Linked DNA regions of Notamacropus eugenii. The protein of the gene in region 1 binds, or shares a complex with, the protein of each later gene. Links are inferred from orthologs where the notes say so. Each region holds a gene or a part of one and is shown in the gene's direction. Other genes may lie near its edges.

Evidence for each region.
Region 2: the proteins of ABCC8 (region 1) and KCNJ11 are in contact, whole or in part, in a cryo-EM structure (PDB 7S60), measured with the Homo sapiens proteins. The link is inferred for Notamacropus eugenii from reciprocal best matches to the Homo sapiens genes ABCC8 and KCNJ11. Residues at the interface, in NP_000343.2 of Homo sapiens: Phe5, Ser12, Ala13, Tyr15, Arg16, Val17, Val21, Asn24, Cys26, Phe27, Ala30, Val33, Val34, Val37, Phe41, Phe44, Ile46, Phe48, Ile49, Gly50, Trp51, Gly52, Ser53, Ser55, Lys57, Val58, His59, Ile60, His61, His62; in NP_000516.3 of Homo sapiens: Val44, Ala45, His46, Lys47, Asn48, Ile49, Arg50, Gln52, Gly53, Leu56, Val59, Thr62, Leu63, Lys67, His70, Leu73, Ile74, Met77, Cys81, Leu84, Leu85, Met88, Trp91, Leu92, Phe95, Ala96, His97, Gly98, Leu100, Ala101.

Annotation. Positions count from the first base shown.
Region 1 is NC_092877.1:40,901,669-40,909,852, reverse strand, and holds the start of ABCC8 (ATP-binding cassette sub-family C member 8), read left to right. Parts: upstream 1-4,783; 5' UTR 4,784-4,886; coding exon 4,887-5,034; intron 5,035-7,934; exon of another isoform or gene 7,935-8,184. UniProt on the Homo sapiens protein: Regulator subunit of pancreatic ATP-sensitive potassium channel (KATP), playing a major role in the regulation of insulin release.
Region 2 is NC_092877.1:40,774,779-40,782,861, reverse strand, and holds the start of KCNJ11 (ATP-sensitive inward rectifier potassium channel 11), read left to right. Parts: upstream 1-4,847; 5' UTR 4,848-6,660; coding exon 6,661-7,863; 3' UTR 7,864-8,083. Other genes in the region: ABCC8 (ATP-binding cassette sub-family C member 8), read left to right, coding at 900-1,037. UniProt on the Homo sapiens protein: Inward rectifier potassium channel that forms the pore of ATP-sensitive potassium channels (KATP), regulating potassium permeability as a function of cytoplasmic ATP and ADP concentrations in many different cells.

The DNA of each region.
Region 1 (8,184 bases):
AGGACTGTGCTAGTAAATGTTTATAGATCCTGGAGGGAGTGGGGTGTACTCAGGACATATTTTAATTTTAATCTGTATTGTTAAATTTTTCTTTACCACTTTCTTAAGTGAATGTAGTCAACAAAACAAAAAAAATCAAACAGTGATTTTTTTGCTGATTTCAAAAGTATAAATGCTCACACAATTTAATAATTGACTTTTGGGAGTTGTTGGAGCTGGTTCCAGCATACTCCCAATTCCAACCTACCTCTTCAAGCTGACCAGCAACCAATCTTGACTGAGAAGGAAATATACCTTTCACCTCTTGGCAGAGAAGTCAAAGACTAGATTTGTGGAACTAAACATCCATTCTCAGCAAGGCAACTGTTTTGATTAGTTTTAACTAACTATACATATTGTTATAATAGAACTCTTCCATTTAGACAATAGGAAAAGAAGAACAGTTGGAAAATAGCATTAGATACTGGAAAAAGAAATAAACATATGACACTTTACTCATTGTAATTTATTAAAATGAAAAAATACTTACTAAACAAGGTCATGTGGTACAGTATGAATCGACTTGAGTCGAGTTTTTCTTGCCTTCAAGGCTGGCTCTCTCTCCATGATGCCATACTGGTTCTCAACTCATAAAGATAATTATGAAAGAAAGACAAAGACCTTCCTGTGAATTTTCCAGTTTTCACACTCACTTTTCATTGCTTAAAGTGTAAAGACCTTACAAGCACAACTTAACAACAGTTCTCAGCTTAGTGTTCCCAGGTGCTTATCACGAGAGCAGATAACTTAACCTTGGAGTCACTAATGGCCTTCCTTCTACCTGTGTGTCCATTTCACTTGATTTTGTCCTTACCCACTCTTGGGCAGGACTGATTCACACTTGAGAAGCCACAGGAAATGAACTGGTTGTTTTCAAATGGTCCTTAACATCATACCTTCTATACATTCACTCATTTATTCATTCATCAGGTAATTACTGAAACCCTGCTATGCACATCGACTAGAGGGTATAGGAACATGACACAAAAAGCCTATGTCTCTGCTCTGGAAGAGGCAGAACCATCTGTGTGGGGAGAGAACTTGCAACTTGCAATCAGGAGAGGTAAGTAACCACGCAGGGAAGGTTAGTGTGAGTGCCAAAATGAGTGATGCCATCAATAAGCACCTGGGAAATCAATTCTGACGGGCGCGGCAAAAAACCACTCTCGAGAATGGAAGGCAGACATGTGACCATGGGAAGAGCACTAGATTTCAGATCCAAGTCTTGGGGCTTTTAATTATTTATTTTATAATTTATTTATTTATTTTTTTTTTAAATTTTTTTATTTTTTTATTTTTTTATTTTATTTTATTATTTATTTTTCAACTAACAACCATTTTTTTTCTCTCCCTCCCACCTATTCCCCAATTAAAGGAAAATCAAAACCTTCAGAACATATCCATAGCCAAGCAAAACAAATTCCCATTTTGGCCATGTGCAAAAATGCATCTCACTCTGCATCTTGAATCCATCACTTCCCTGTCCCAAAACGGTGATGATGTTTCATCATGAGACCTCTGCAATGTTTGATAATGACATCGATCAGAGATCTTAAGTCTTTCAAAGTTGTGTTTAATAAGAATGTATGTGTAGAACCCTTCTAAGACTGCATGTCGTCTCAGGGAGGGAGGGGGAAGGAGGGTGAGAAAATTTAAGACTTATGGAAGTGATTGTTTAAAACTGAAAACAAATAAATCAATTAAAAAGAGAGAGAGAAAAATCTTTCAAAGTTGTTTAAGACCTGGTTTACATTTTGTCTCCACTGCTTAGCCCTGTAGCCTTGGGAAAGTCACTGTTCTCTGAGCTCTATTCTCCACTTCTGAGAAATATGAGCAATCATCTCTGGTCTACCTCCTTTATAGAGTTATAGGATCTACAACTGGAAGAGACCTCCGAGGCCTGCTAGTTCAACCCCCACATTTTACCACTGAAGGAACTGAGCCTCAAGGAAGTTTGACACCTTGCCCAATGTCACCGCAGGTAGTTAGAATCAGAGGCAGCATTTGAATCCAAGACCTCTTGGACTCCTAAACCAGAGCTCTTTCCACTATGCCATGCTGCTTCCTATTGTGAAGTAAATGTATATAATGTGAAATGTATATAATGTATAGAAAATGTATATAATGTACATAAAACCTTTAGTGTTGATTTATAAATATATATATTCTTATTACCATTATGACTACCTCAGGGAGACAGGTTGCAGAGCGGTTAGAATGTTGGGTCTGGGATCAGGTAGTCTAGGTTATATGACCGTAAACAAGCTTCTCAATTTATAGGAGACTCAATTTCCTCATCTGTAAAATGGTGATGATTATTATACCACCAAACTCATAGGGTTATTCTGAGAATCACATGACAGCATATGTAATGTGCTGCTAAATAAATTCACTAAACTTATGATCATCTTCATTTCAGGTTTGCTTTCTTCCACAGGTCTGCATCACATACCCCTCCATCCCCCTGTAGTTTTAGTCAAGTTCTACTCGAAGGTAGAGAAATTAACCTTAGCAAAGACATGTCCCCATTACCAGCAGGAGCTCCCGAAGGACTTCATTCATCCATATGTAAGGATTAAAGATTTTCTAAGAGTGAGGGGATGTCTTTCTAGAGCTAACTCTACATTATTCATGTTTATGGGAGGGAGAAGGATAATACTCTATAATCCAAAACCCTGATAATCCAAAATTCTTTAGTATGTTTAACGACTTAAGGCATATAATTGGGAAAGAAGGGCATATTTTTTCCTCACAATGTCAGCATTAAAATGAGTTTACATTTATTTCCTGCCCACATTGATCCTGGGGACAATCTATGAGCCTCCTAGGGAGAAATGACCTCCCTTCCATAATCCTCTGCTACCTCATTACAAAGCATTCACTTTTGCCACCCTCACTAAAGAAGGAAGTAGATTGTTCTCATCAATGAGCAGATGCCGAACCATTTCCTCCCCTCCCTGACTTATGTCTCTCAGATCCAGCTGTGGGACGCCTGTCTTTCAGAACTGTTGTCTTACCTACACTAGAGGGGTGTACTGAGGGACAGTATGAGAAAACAGTTGTAAAAATGCTTTGGGGAGGCTAAGACAATAGCCATAGGGCAAACACTGTTAGTGTGGTTATTAATGAGATTTTCCCCCTAGGAAGCTCATCTCATATCAGTACCTATTAATCAATTTATTGTCTGAGGGCTTTCCCAGAGTCACACAGTCAGTAAGTACAGGAGAAAAGACTCGGACCTACGCTGGCATGACTCCTGAGACATTTCACTATGTCCTGCTGGTGCTGCTTTCATACCAATGCGGCCACTCATAATAAATGTTGATTGAAGTTGAAGTACTTATTGCATACATATAATGCAAATTCATTGAAAACAGTTTTCATTTACTGTCTGTATCCCTGGCATCTAGCACAGTACCTGCTGCATACAGTAGGTACTTAATAGATTATTTTGGTGACTGAGTTGTTTGCAGAGAACTGCTCTGGGTAATAAGGAGATAGAAAGTCCTATGTAGTTAGTTGTGGAACAAGAAATAAACATAATAACTCTTTCCATGCAATCGTTACAGGATAAGTTCAATAGAGAGTTAGCAAAGTTCTGAGGGAGAATGTACTTATGGGAGAGGGATCAGCGATTGATCATTGCAGAGGTGGCATTTGAGTTGGGCTTTGTAAGTTGGATGGGATCTCAGTAGGTAAAGCAGAGAAAGAGGACATTCTAGAGTCACAGAATATCATATAAGGTAGGAAGCATGCCTTTAATTAGGCATGTGCTGGATCGTTTGGGGACAGAGGTGTCCAATTCGTCTGGAGTGTAGTATGATTGGAGGGGAAAACTATTAGATAGGATCGAACAGATCAGTGATGTCACATTTTGAAGGACCATAAAGACTCTATTAGTATGCCTCTGGGAGCCACTGAAGATTTGGGGACCAAAGAATGATGTGACCAGAGATTCTCTTCTCCAGATTGGGTGATGATAGTTCTCAGGACTTCTTTCTGGGGTCAGAATCTTCTGGGTACAGGTTTAGGGCACCTAATTGCCCCCAGGACCTTTCCCTCCAGGATCCCCCTACTCAATGGACTTGGGGGGGGAGGCGGGGTGAATCGGGAGGCTGTGGGGGAGAAAGGGTCTCTCTGTTCGACTCTCGGGAATAGGCAGTCAATGTTTGGACATGAGTCCAGCAGCTCAGAGACAGCCTCTGGTCCTGCGTTCCCCAGTTGCCCCACCCTCGTATCATACTTCTTTGGGAGCCCCGGGTTCAGCCCGATCCTGTGTCCCTGAAGTACTCTCCCAGTCCCCCCCACACACGCGCCCAACCTGAGCCCACGGAAAGTGCGCCCCCAGCACAAACTGAAGCCAAGTCAAGAAAAAGCGCAGAGACACATAATTGGGATCATCCTCCATTCACCCAGCAGCGCACGTGCGCAGAACGCTCCTTTGCACGCGCTCACACACTCATATACATACACACATACTAGCGCGTACACACATACACATACATACATACGTACATGGGCGCGCACACACAGAGGCTTTGCAAACTCCCTCCTCCCCTAAGACGCGCGCGCGCGCGTACACAGACACACACACTAAATAGGACACACACACCGGTGCCACCTCCAACAGGGTCTAGGGTTGCGGTGGGGTGGGAGTGGAGAGCAGAGGTGGAAGCTCAGGTAGCTGGGTCACAGAGACTGGGCGGGGCTGGCGGGTGGAGCGGGGGTGGGAGACCGGCTGACAGCTGGTCCAGAGCGCGGCGGCGCGGGGAGGGTAGGAGGGAAGCTGGTGAGCCCGCAGCCTGCAGCCCGAGCCCTGGCCCGGCCCGCCTGGCCCCCGCACCGCCATGCCCTTGGCTTTCTGCGGCAGCGAGAACGACTCGGCCGCCTACAAGGTGGACCAGGGCGTTCTGAACAACGGCTGCTTTGTGGATGCGCTCAACGTGGTCCCACATGTCTTCCTTTTCTTCATCACTTTCCCCATCCTCTTCATCGGTAAGCCTGAGCGTGCCAGACCGAGAAACTGGGCTTGGGGAGGGGTCGGGGAGGGGAGCAGCAGCGGGGGCTTGAGCTGGAGTACAGACTTTCCTCTCACTTTTCCCAGCTACCCCACCAGCTTCCCTACACCCGCCATCCCCAGCCTCTCCCAGCTTTCCTGCCTTTCCTCGTTCGCCCTTGTCCTACACTTTCCCTGTGCCCTCTCCTCTTTCTTTTTTCTCCAAGCAGCCCTTCCTCCCTGAGCCCGTTCTTTTCTGCATCCCTTCGTTTTTCCTGTCTGCCAGCCCCACTTTGGTGTGCTCCAGCCCCCTTCTCTGTTTGCGTTCCTGCCTCAGCTCCGCTGGCCTCCAGTCTTCCCCAGACTCCTTTTGCCAGGGCCTGGAACCCCAGAGGGGCCCTTTCATAGGTCCTTGTTCAATTTCCTTGGTCACCCCCCAACCCTTAACCTCAGAAAGCTCCTCCAAGAGATATAGGTTCTTCCCTCTTCCCCCGCGTCCCAGCCCCCTTTTCCCTACCTCCCCTACCCCCACATTGCTCCCAGGTAATATTAATGTGGAAGAGGGGTGGTAGTGAAAGTGGAGAGAGGGGGGAACCCAGGGCTAAAAGTGGGGTCACCGCCCGTTCTGTGAGAAGTAAATGGACTCAGAGTGGGTCCAGAGAAGTCCCAGCAGGGTCGTCTTTCTGTCCCCTCCTCCAGTGCTATTCAAGGTCTCCCTCCTCCCCCTTCCCTACTTCCCCTACTTCCCAAAGTGCAAGTCCGGACTAAGCCTCAGAACAACCCCTCAAAGGGAAGGAGGCTGTTATGTCCAGCCTCCCTTCTCCCCAAAGCTTCATCTCAGCGAGAGGTCTTCAGTCCCCTGTTCCACTAAGTTCCCAGGAGCTGGAAGCTTTGGGAAAAGATAGAAACCTACCTAGATTAATGAATTCCTGTGCCCTAGGATACGTTACTGCTACTTAGATTCAGAGAAATAGTGCTGAACTTGGAGTCAGGAAACCTGAGTTCAAATACTCACTTTGCCAATAACTAACCCTGTGACCTTGGGCTTCCTTTTCCTCATTTGTTAAAATAATAATAATAATAGTTAGACTAGCTACCCTCTATAGTCTCTTCCAGCTCTCGATCAATGATCACTAGTCAGAGGTCAAAGGCCATAGATCATAACTCTCCCATTTTTCAAATGGGTTAAATGAGCTTCACAAGTAAAGTGACATACCCAAGTCATTCAAACAGGAAGTGGCATATCTAGGACTTGAATCCTTAAATTGACTCTCAGTTAAATGATCTTTCCCGTTAAGCATGTCTCCTTTTTAGCTTTGCACCCAAGCTTAGAGTTAATCCAGATGCCCTGACAGCCTGGGTAGGCCTGCTTTTCAGAATTTAACCAATTGCTGGGCATTTCTGTCTTCAAGCAGCATATATTTCACTGTGTTCTCTTTTAAATTGTATTTTTTAGTTCCACATTCTCTGTCTCCCTCCATAGCCTCCCCCACCCAATGAAAAGGCAAGAAATATGATGCCCATTATATATATATATATATATATACACATATACACACAGTCATGCAAAACATATTTCCTCATTAGCCATGCCCACCCACCCTCCCCCAAAAGCAAGAAAAACAAAGGAAAAAAATACACTTAGATTTGGACCCTGAGTTTATCAGTTCTTTATCAGGAGGTTGATAGCATTTGATACTGAGTCCTTTCCAGGAGTGGTAGCTCGTTGTATTGATCAGTTACTAAGTCTTTCACAGTTGATTATCCTTACAGTTGCTATTATTGTGCAGACTGCTCTCTTGCTTCTGTTCACTTCACTTTTCATCAGTTCATATAGGTCTTCCCAGATTTTTCTGAAATCATCCCCTTCATCATTTCTTAAAGCACAATAATATTTCATCATTCATATACCATAACCTGTTCAGTCATTCCTCAATTGATGGACATCTCCTTAGTATCCAGCTCTTTGCTACCACAAAAAGAGTTGTTAAAAATACTTTCGTACATATTTGTACGAATTTCTACATAGGAATATGGGTGCTTTTCCTTTTTCTTTGGTCTCCTTGGGGTATGTTAGTAGTGTTAGAGTATACACAGTATTATAGCCCTTTGGACATGATTTGAAATCAGTATACAGTTTGTGCACAAACACTGAATCAGAATCTACATATTCCCCTTTGGAGATGGCATAGCAGGGACTCATCCATAGGGTTAGTGTTGGATAAGATCATTTTTCTAAGCCTGCTTCTATGTAATGATAGGGCTTCCCGAGTCTACAATCAGACTACTACATGCCCTCATAAAGGTATGCAGTTACCAGTGCTTGCTCCATGAGTCAATATCAACAACTCAAGTTTTGTAACATGCCAGGGTGTTTCTGTTATGTTGGGGATGTCCATGTTCTTTTAAACATCTTGATTTTCAAATAGAAAAGTATGTCCTGTGTTTTTAGAGGGAGAGGAGTGTTACAAAATTGAATAAACATGAGTAGAGTGATGCAGCTCCCTCCTGTTGATAATACACAAGCTTCTGATGTACCATATGTGCAGAGTATGCTGGAGCCAGCTTCAGTGGGCTCAAGCCTATAGTTAAATTTTCAGAGTGAACACTTATACCATAGAAATTGGCAAATGCTATGCTACAAGTCAAGTCTTGTTTCATTGTTTTGTTTATTATCCAGACTTAATGTAGTGACGGGATAAAATGTTAATAAGGAAGCTTAAATTGAAAAGTGTGTTATGCACATGTATATTTTTAGAGAGCCAGTTGTTAAACATTTACCAACACACTCCTTGATATATATGATGAACACACACACACACACACACACACACACACACACACACACACACACACACACACACACCCCTGCTGGTAAGTATTAGCCCTCAGCAGGTCAGTAGATATAGGCAGCATTTATACTTCTGATTTGTTGCGTTTTTATTTATTTAGTTTAGGACTTCTGTCTTAATACAACTACAACATCATAGATTTAGAACTGGAAGGAACTTTAGAGATTATCCAACACCCTCATTTTATAGATGAGGAAATTGTGTCACAGAAAAGTTAAATGACTTGTCCAGGTCACCCAGTTTGTAAGTTGTTTTGGAGGAATTTGAATCCAGATCTTCCTGGAAGAAGCTAATGAT
Region 2 (8,083 bases), about 130 kb from region 1:
AGGTAGATACTATCCCCATTTTACGTTAAGCAAATTGAAGCTGGAAGAGGTGAAGTGATTTGTCCAGAATCAGGCAGCTAAGTGTCTGAGACAAGATTTGAACTCAAGTCTTCCTGACTTCAAGTTCAGCACTCAGTCCACTGTGCTACCTAGTTGCTATTACCCCCAAAGCAGGGAGTAGATAAGGGTGATTAGTTTATACTGATCTTGGTCATTCCCAGCTACCCTAAGAGGGAGGTAACATGGATAGGATGGAAAAAGGTAACCCCAAGAAATACAGAAAGCCTAAGTGACTTCCCTATTCAGTGAGTGAAGAGCCCAGTGCCCACATGAAGCAAGTTAGATATGCACTGTATTAGATTCTGATGCTGAATTTAATTATCTAACTTGTGGATAAGGAATAAAGAGACATAGTTAACCATTTAAAAGACTCTGCCCTGCTTTGTGACTCTGACTCAGTCACAGAATTCCCCCATCTTGTCAAACCTGGCCCCCTGATCTTTGAGAAGACATCTCCTTGGGAACAAAAAAAAGCCCTGCCCCATGATGAGGTATAAGCTTGAGTGTTAGGGTGCAGACTTGAACCATGAGTTCTATCTTTCAGTTTCTAGTGTAGATTCTTACTTATCTCTGCTGGTTCATTTCGGCTCCATTTAACACTTCTAGCCCTCCTGCCAGTCCTCATTCCCTACCCAAGCACCCCACACCCATATTACCCCACTTTCCTTATCTCTCCTACCCACTCATGCCTTTTGCTTCCAATGCTGAATAGCTATTCATACTCCCCTTCCCCTTGCAACTATAGATACCGTCAGCCTTTCTTTCCCTTAGCTCATGCCCTCAGAACTTCCTCTAGTTTGCCAAAGCATCAAGGCTCCATCTGGGCTTTCTCTCCACAGCACCGAGTACACACCATCCTGAATGCTGACCTCGTGATTGTGATGAAGCGTGGTGCCATACTGGAATATGATAAGCCCGAGGTGCTGCTCAGCCAGCCAGACAGTGTCTTTGCATCCTTTGTCCGGGCTGACAAGTGACCTGAGCTGGAGTGACTCCAAGTGCCATTTTGCCCCTCTTTGCCACCTTCTCCAACATGGATTTTCTAGCTGTGTAAATCATTTGTAAATAAAGAGATTAATTATTTCCTACCATATCCCCCAAATTTCCTATGGAGTTCCTTCATCTTCCTCTTCCTAATTTGGAATCCTAGTAGCTTGGTAGGTAGAGTTCATAGCACTAGCACTAGCCTCTTACTAGAGAAATGCATCTATACCTCAACTAATATACATACTACTTTGCACATGTGAAAACATGAAATCATGGATAAAGAACTGGCCTCAAAGCCAGGGTTCAATTCCAGCTTCTAATACATAATGGTTATGTGATCCTAGGCCAAGTCACAACCTCTCAGTTCTCTAGGTAACTCTCTAAGACTTCACATTGCAGAGAAGGTGCCAACCTGCATTTGGAAAGGAGTTTTTTCCTTTGGGAGTTCCCTATACCATGGAAATCATAGGTCTACTTTCTATTCATCATGTAACACTAGCCCCAGTAGCCATCTCATGGAGTGTGGGTGGTGATTGGCCTGGCCCCTGACCTGGACTCCTGGGGGATATATGAAGGACTTGTCAGTTTGGGATGGGACAGCAAACCTGGGGAAGTTTCTTGGTTTCCCGTCCCTGTGTGGTTGGAGGATGGGAGAGAATTGCAACAAAACTGTTATCAAAGAAGATTGGTTACTGAACCAGAAAGAATAGCCCACTTAGATTTTAAAAGAAGTGATTCTGTCTTACTCCTCACTCTTCCATTCTCCAGAATTCTTATTGCTCTCTCTCTCTCTCTCTCTCTCTCTCTCTCTCTCTCTCTCTCTCTCTCTCTCTCTCTCTCTGCATCTATTTATCTCTATCTCTATCTCTATCTCTGTCTCTCTCATATGGGTGTTATCACTCTCTCTGGAGCTTCCCTTGAGCAATTGGGGGAGAGGCATGAGGATATCCACTATTAGACTTATAATTTGCAATCAATTCAACAAATACTTCTTAAGCTAACAATTAATGTGCTTAGTACTTTGATATTTCAAAGTACTTCTAATTTCATCAGTGTGGGTACACCCTTCATCAACACAAATCACAACCCCAGAGTAACTGAAAGATCCAGAACCCTATGACAAGTTAGTGATGAACCCTTGAACCAAAAACCTACCCTCCATCGCTGAGCCCATTCCTGGAACTTTCTAATTGGGTAGACTTTGTCATATACTACTCCACATACTACTAGCAAATAACTTCAGAAAGGTCAAGATGGCAGAATGAGGAATCAGAGTAAGACTTAGTTGAAGCTTGTGAAATGTTTCCTTTTTAAAAATGTCTGCATTTTTAAAGTAATCAATCCATGATGTCATAATAAAGTGTACCACTCTCTAAACCACAGCATAGCAGAAAGATAACAATCACAGAGGCAATCCTTTGAGGCCAGGAATCCTTGGATCTGATGTCTATGAATTTAGTTTTTAATATTTCAATAACTGTACTTCAATATAATTTGTTTCCTTTGTTATCCTATACATTTTATTTTATGAACTTTAAAAATATTATTGTTAGAAGGGGTTCAGAGGCTTCACTAGATTGCCACAGATTTGAGTCCATGACATGAAAAAAATGAATAGCCCTTTATCCATTCTAAGTGTTTAAAATCACATACTTTATTTTGAATCTGTGGGATAAGGAATAGAACCGAATTTCTGCCTGGATCATTGCTTCCCTTTGCCTGGTTTCATTTCAGCTGCCAATCTTGTAGCTCTTTACACTATTTTAGGACCCAGTTTCTGTCTACAGGACCAACGGGCAGCCTTAAACTCATCCCCAAGTTTTCACTCATCTACTAACCTCATCTCCAGAGGTATGTACTTCTTCATGCTATGAAGGTGACTGTAGGTTCTCAAAGTCAATGCTAATCAAAAAGCATTTATTAAACACTCATTACATACCAGGCTCTGTGTTGGAGACAGGAACACAAAAATGAAACAGTACCTATCCTCAAGGAGTTTTCATATTCCTACTAAGCTGAAAAAACTGGCTCATTTCACCTCTAGAGACTTCAGTTTCCTCACTTGTAACATTAGGTACTTGGCTGAGTTTGTTTATCTTTAATCAAAGTCATGGATATGGTAGGTGGCAAAGTGTAGACAAGAATGCTACTCTCCTGATTCCAAGTACGGTGCCTTTAGAGGAGAAGACATAGAAAAAGATACCTATGAACCTGGGTGTAGGCAAACACCTGCATACACACACACACACACACACACACACACACACACACGATTCCTGTAATTCCTTCCCTGCCCAGCCCCTTCCTTGGGTTCAGAAGAGTAACCTCTACTGAGAACCATGACTTTGTGAGGTTCTCCATACTATCATGAGCCATCAGAGATGATGCCTCTGGGGGAAAGGTTAACAGAGCAGTGAAAACCGGGAGATGGGTTGGTCCTGTAGACAGAAACGGGGCCCTAAAAATGTGAAGTATAAGACTGGCAGCACTGAAAAGAAACCAGGCAAAGAAAAGCAATAATGATCCAGCTGGAAATAATTGAGGGCTCTATTCTTTATTCCACAGGTTCAAAATAAAAATCATACAGATTTCAAACATTTAGACTAGGGCTTTCGTTGTTGAGTTTACAGTCATGTTGGACTCTTCATGACCCCATTTGGGGTTTTCTTGGTGAAAATACTGTAGTGGTTTGGGGGATCCTTCTCTAAGAGACTAGAGCAGGGGCTCCTAAGTCTTTTGTATTTCTTATACTCCAAGAAGGTCAAGTAAAATGTTGATATATTATAAATGATATTTTATAAATTGGATTTACACACTGCTCCCCTAAAATCTTTTTCTGATGTCTCACTGTGATGTGGAAGTGGCCCTGGGTCTTCAAAGACAATGCCAGGTGAGGGCAAATTCTGGCAGGGATCACTAAGATGGATAGTCTTTCAACTCAGGCCTGATAACAGACTATATTTGCTGTCTGAATACCAGCCTAGCAATTCCTAGGCAGGCTCATCACCAGACTGGCTACAGTTTAATGAATCCGGGCATGGAGTGACTCTCAAATACAGTCTAATAAGTTGTACCATGAGTATAAATGCAAAAAAAAATACAGATAATAATGGCAAATAATTACATAGCACTTTTTAGGATATTCTTATTTTATCTTCACAACAACCTTGGGAGGTAGATGTTATCTCCATTTTACAGAGGAAGAAACTGAGGCAGGCAGAATAATTTGTCCATTGTTACACAGCTAATAAGTGTCTGAGGCTGAATTTGAACTCAGGTTTTCCTGACTCTAAGCCCAGCACGGCATCGCCTAGCTACTTATTTGCACTACCTCCCTCTCAGTGGAGGGAATTATATTTACATGGACTCCAGTCTTCATTCCTCCGGGTCTGACACACTATCGACTGTGTCACCTAAAAGGCTGCCTGCAGATCTCTGAAATATTGCAGAAAAATGATTTTTGAAAATTGAATCTATTAAAATTTGACTGGAATTCAGCATTTGAAAGAAAGCATATTGTGAATCATTTTTTAAAGTGAAGAATCTCTCGATAAAGAGAATGCCTCCCTCTTTTATCCGATTTGTAGATTTGGAAGGGAATTGAACTAGAAGACCTTTGAAGTCCTTTCCCATTCAAAGTCGATCATCCTATGATTGTCCAGCATTCAGGTTTGCTTAAAGAAAGGCACACCTGTACAATTTAAATTTTAATGGAAAAATCAATAAGGCATATGCCTTAAGGATGTCCTGAATCCAGGAACTGGAAGAGCTCAGTTGAATATACTCAGGTGAGTGGGCTTCAGGAAACCTGGGTCCTGGTTCTTCCATCAAAAGCTCATTATATGACCTTGTGCTTTCTCAGTCTGTAAAATGTGCTCCAGGGGCCTTTTCAGTTCCAGTTTTATGGGTCTATGAAGGGTATCCCCTCCCCCTCTAAGTCCTAAGCCGTGAAATACAGAAGTAGCAGTTGCCTACTTTCCCTCAGCCATTAGGGGTACGGACAAACGGCTGGGAGAAGGGCCAAACCCAAGTAAATGGTGGGGAGTTGGCCGCCCCTAGGACTTCCTCCAGCCCCCTCCTTCCCACAAAACAAACAAACCTGGGAGTGGAAGGAATGAGGAGAGAAGGAGGGAATGATGGGGAGAGAGGGACAGAGATAGAGAGACCCCCCCAGGCACCCTTCCCAGGCGTCCTCTGGGTCCAGGGGCGGGCCCGGGAGGAGGCGGAGCCGCATCTTTGCAATCGTCTCCCTTCTACCCGCACCCCCAGTCCTCCGCCTTCCTCCGGGCTGCAGCTGATCCCGGGTCAGATACTCCCTCTGGTGGCCTCTGGGTCCCCACTCCCTGCCCGCTGCAGTACTGGGACTTCGCATTGACAGTCCCCCCGATCTCGCCCTCCTGTCCTGGGCCTGCGCCGGTGCTCCTGCCGCTGCTGCCCTCATCTCCGATCCTTCTTCCCTACAGCAGCTCCTATTCCCACTCTCGTCCCCATTTTCCCCCTCCCCCATCACCTCCAACCTCCTGAGCTCTTACCTCCCCCAGTCCCATTCCCATTCCCATCCCCCAGCCGCACCAGCCTCCGGATCCTCCCCCGCCATCACCCCGGCTTTCTGCATCTCCTGCCCCCTTAGCCTTCGATCCCCACGTCTGCCTCCTATATCCTCCCCCATCCCACCCACTCCGTTAGCCTCCCTGAGTTCTTACCTTCCTTTCCCATTCTTCACCCCACGCCCAGCCTCCCTCTGCTCCTAGGCTCCCACCACCACCCTACCTCTCACTCCCCTGTACCATCCTACCCTCAGTACAACCCCAATCAATTTTCTCCCCTACTCCACCCCGCCTTATCTCATCTCGGCAGGGTTCCCAGCTCTCCACCTCCCTCCCGGTGCTGGAACCCAAGCCGGGGTGTCAGAGGACGCTGGACAGAGAGACAGATTGACAAGCCAGGACACAGGACTGGGGCTGGCACTGGTGCGGAGGGCGGGGTTAGGGAGCAGCGGTCGCGACTAGAGGAACAGCAGCAGGTGCTGAGCTCAAGGGGAGGGGGAAAGGAGGAGGCCCTGTGCTGGAAGGGGCAAGCGCCGAGCTGGGGTGGTGGTTGGAGAAGAGAGGGAGGAAGGGGTTGGAGTCCCCAGACCCTGTGGAGAGAGGCACCGGACGCAAGCAGAGAGCTTCCGGTGAAGGAGGCAAGGGGGGGCGGGGGCTGGAACTGAGGGGAAGGGGAGAGGGATAAAGAGAGAGTTAGGGTGGTAAGAGGCTGGGCCTGAGCTGTGGGATGGAGAGAGTGGCTCGGGTCAGTAGGTAAGGAGATAGGTTCAGTGGGTGAGCCTGGGGGCTACTGATGTGAGACAGTGGAGAGTCCCAGGAGATGACTGGGGCAAGAGCAGAGTGTAGGAGGTGAGCTGATGGCCATAACATTGCGAAGTGGGGAAGTGAGCTAGGAGACTTGGGAACAAGAGGCAAGAAAGGTGGAGGATTACCTGACTGCTTGCCAACTTTGACTTGGGGTGGAGGGGGTGACAAGATCAGAAGGTGCATCTTGGCTGGGGATTGAGAGGATAGGGCTAGGCTGATAGGAGCCCCCAATGGGGGAAGCCTAGGGAGGGCCTGAGCCATGCTGTCCCGCAAGGGAATCATCCCTGAGGAGTATGTACTGACTCGGCTAGCAGAGGATCCAACAGAGCCCAGGTACCATGCCCGGGAGAGAAGAGCCCGCTTTGTGGCCAAGAATGGCAACTGCAATGTAGCCCACAAGAACATCCGGGAGCAGGGCCGCTTCCTTCAGGATGTCTTCACCACGCTGGTGGACCTCAAGTGGCACCACACACTGCTCATCTTCACCATGTCCTTCCTCTGCAGCTGGCTACTCTTTGCCATGGCCTGGTGGCTCATTGCTTTTGCTCATGGTGACCTGGACCACAGCACCAGAACTGAAACTGGGGAGAATGATGCCACTTTCATACCCTGCGTCACCAGCATCCACTCCTTTGCTTCTGCCTTCCTTTTCTCCATTGAGGTTCAGGTGACAATTGGCTTCGGGGGTCGCATGGTGACTGAGGAATGTCCACTGGCTGTCCTGGTGCTGATCGTGCAGAACATCGTTGGGCTCATGGTCAATGCCATCATGTTGGGCTGCATCTTCATGAAGACAGCCCAAGCCCACCGCCGGGCAGAGACACTCATCTTCAGCAAGCATGCGGTCATCGCCATGCGCCACGGCCGCCTCTGCTTCATGCTCCGTGTGGGTGACCTCCGGAAAAGTATGATCATCAGTGCTACCATCCGCATGCAGGTAGTCCGGAAGACCACCAGCCCTGAAGGCGAGGTTGTACCCTTGCACCAGGTGGACATTCCTATGGAGAATGGTGTGGGTGGCAACAGCATCTTCCTGGTGGCTCCACTTATTATCTACCATGTCATTGATGCCAACAGTCCCCTGTATGACCTTGCCCCCAGTGACCTGCACCACCATCAGGATCTGGAAATCATTGTGATATTGGAAGGTGTGGTGGAGACCACAGGCATCACCACACAGGCCCGAACCTCCTACCTTGCAGATGAGATCCTCTGGGGCCAGCGCTTTGTTCCCATCGTGGCCGAGGAGGATGGCCGCTACTCAGTGGACTACTCTAAGTTTGGCAATACTGTCAAGGTGCCTACCCCTGCCTGCACTGCCCGCCAGCTGGAGGAGGATCGAACTCTCCTGGACTCCCTCCCTCTTGCCTCTCCCAAAGGGCCCCTCCGAAAGAGGAGTGTGGCTTCAACCAAGCCCAAAGCCAAGCCCAAGTTCAGCATCTCCCTCGATGCCTTGTCCTGAGGCCTGCCTTCATTATGTGGGCCAGCTCAAACTCCCCAGGCTTTCCTCCCTCCCAACAGTCCCATATTTGAGTCCTTAGGGTAGAGACCTGATCCATCAACCCTGCATGAAGGAGGGGGGAATGGCCTTTGGTCCAGCAGAGCCCTCTGTTTATTTACTGAATGCTAGGAGCTGCCAGGGATTTTAGGGCTTCAGTGTCTCCTGACTATTGCTCAGGGGT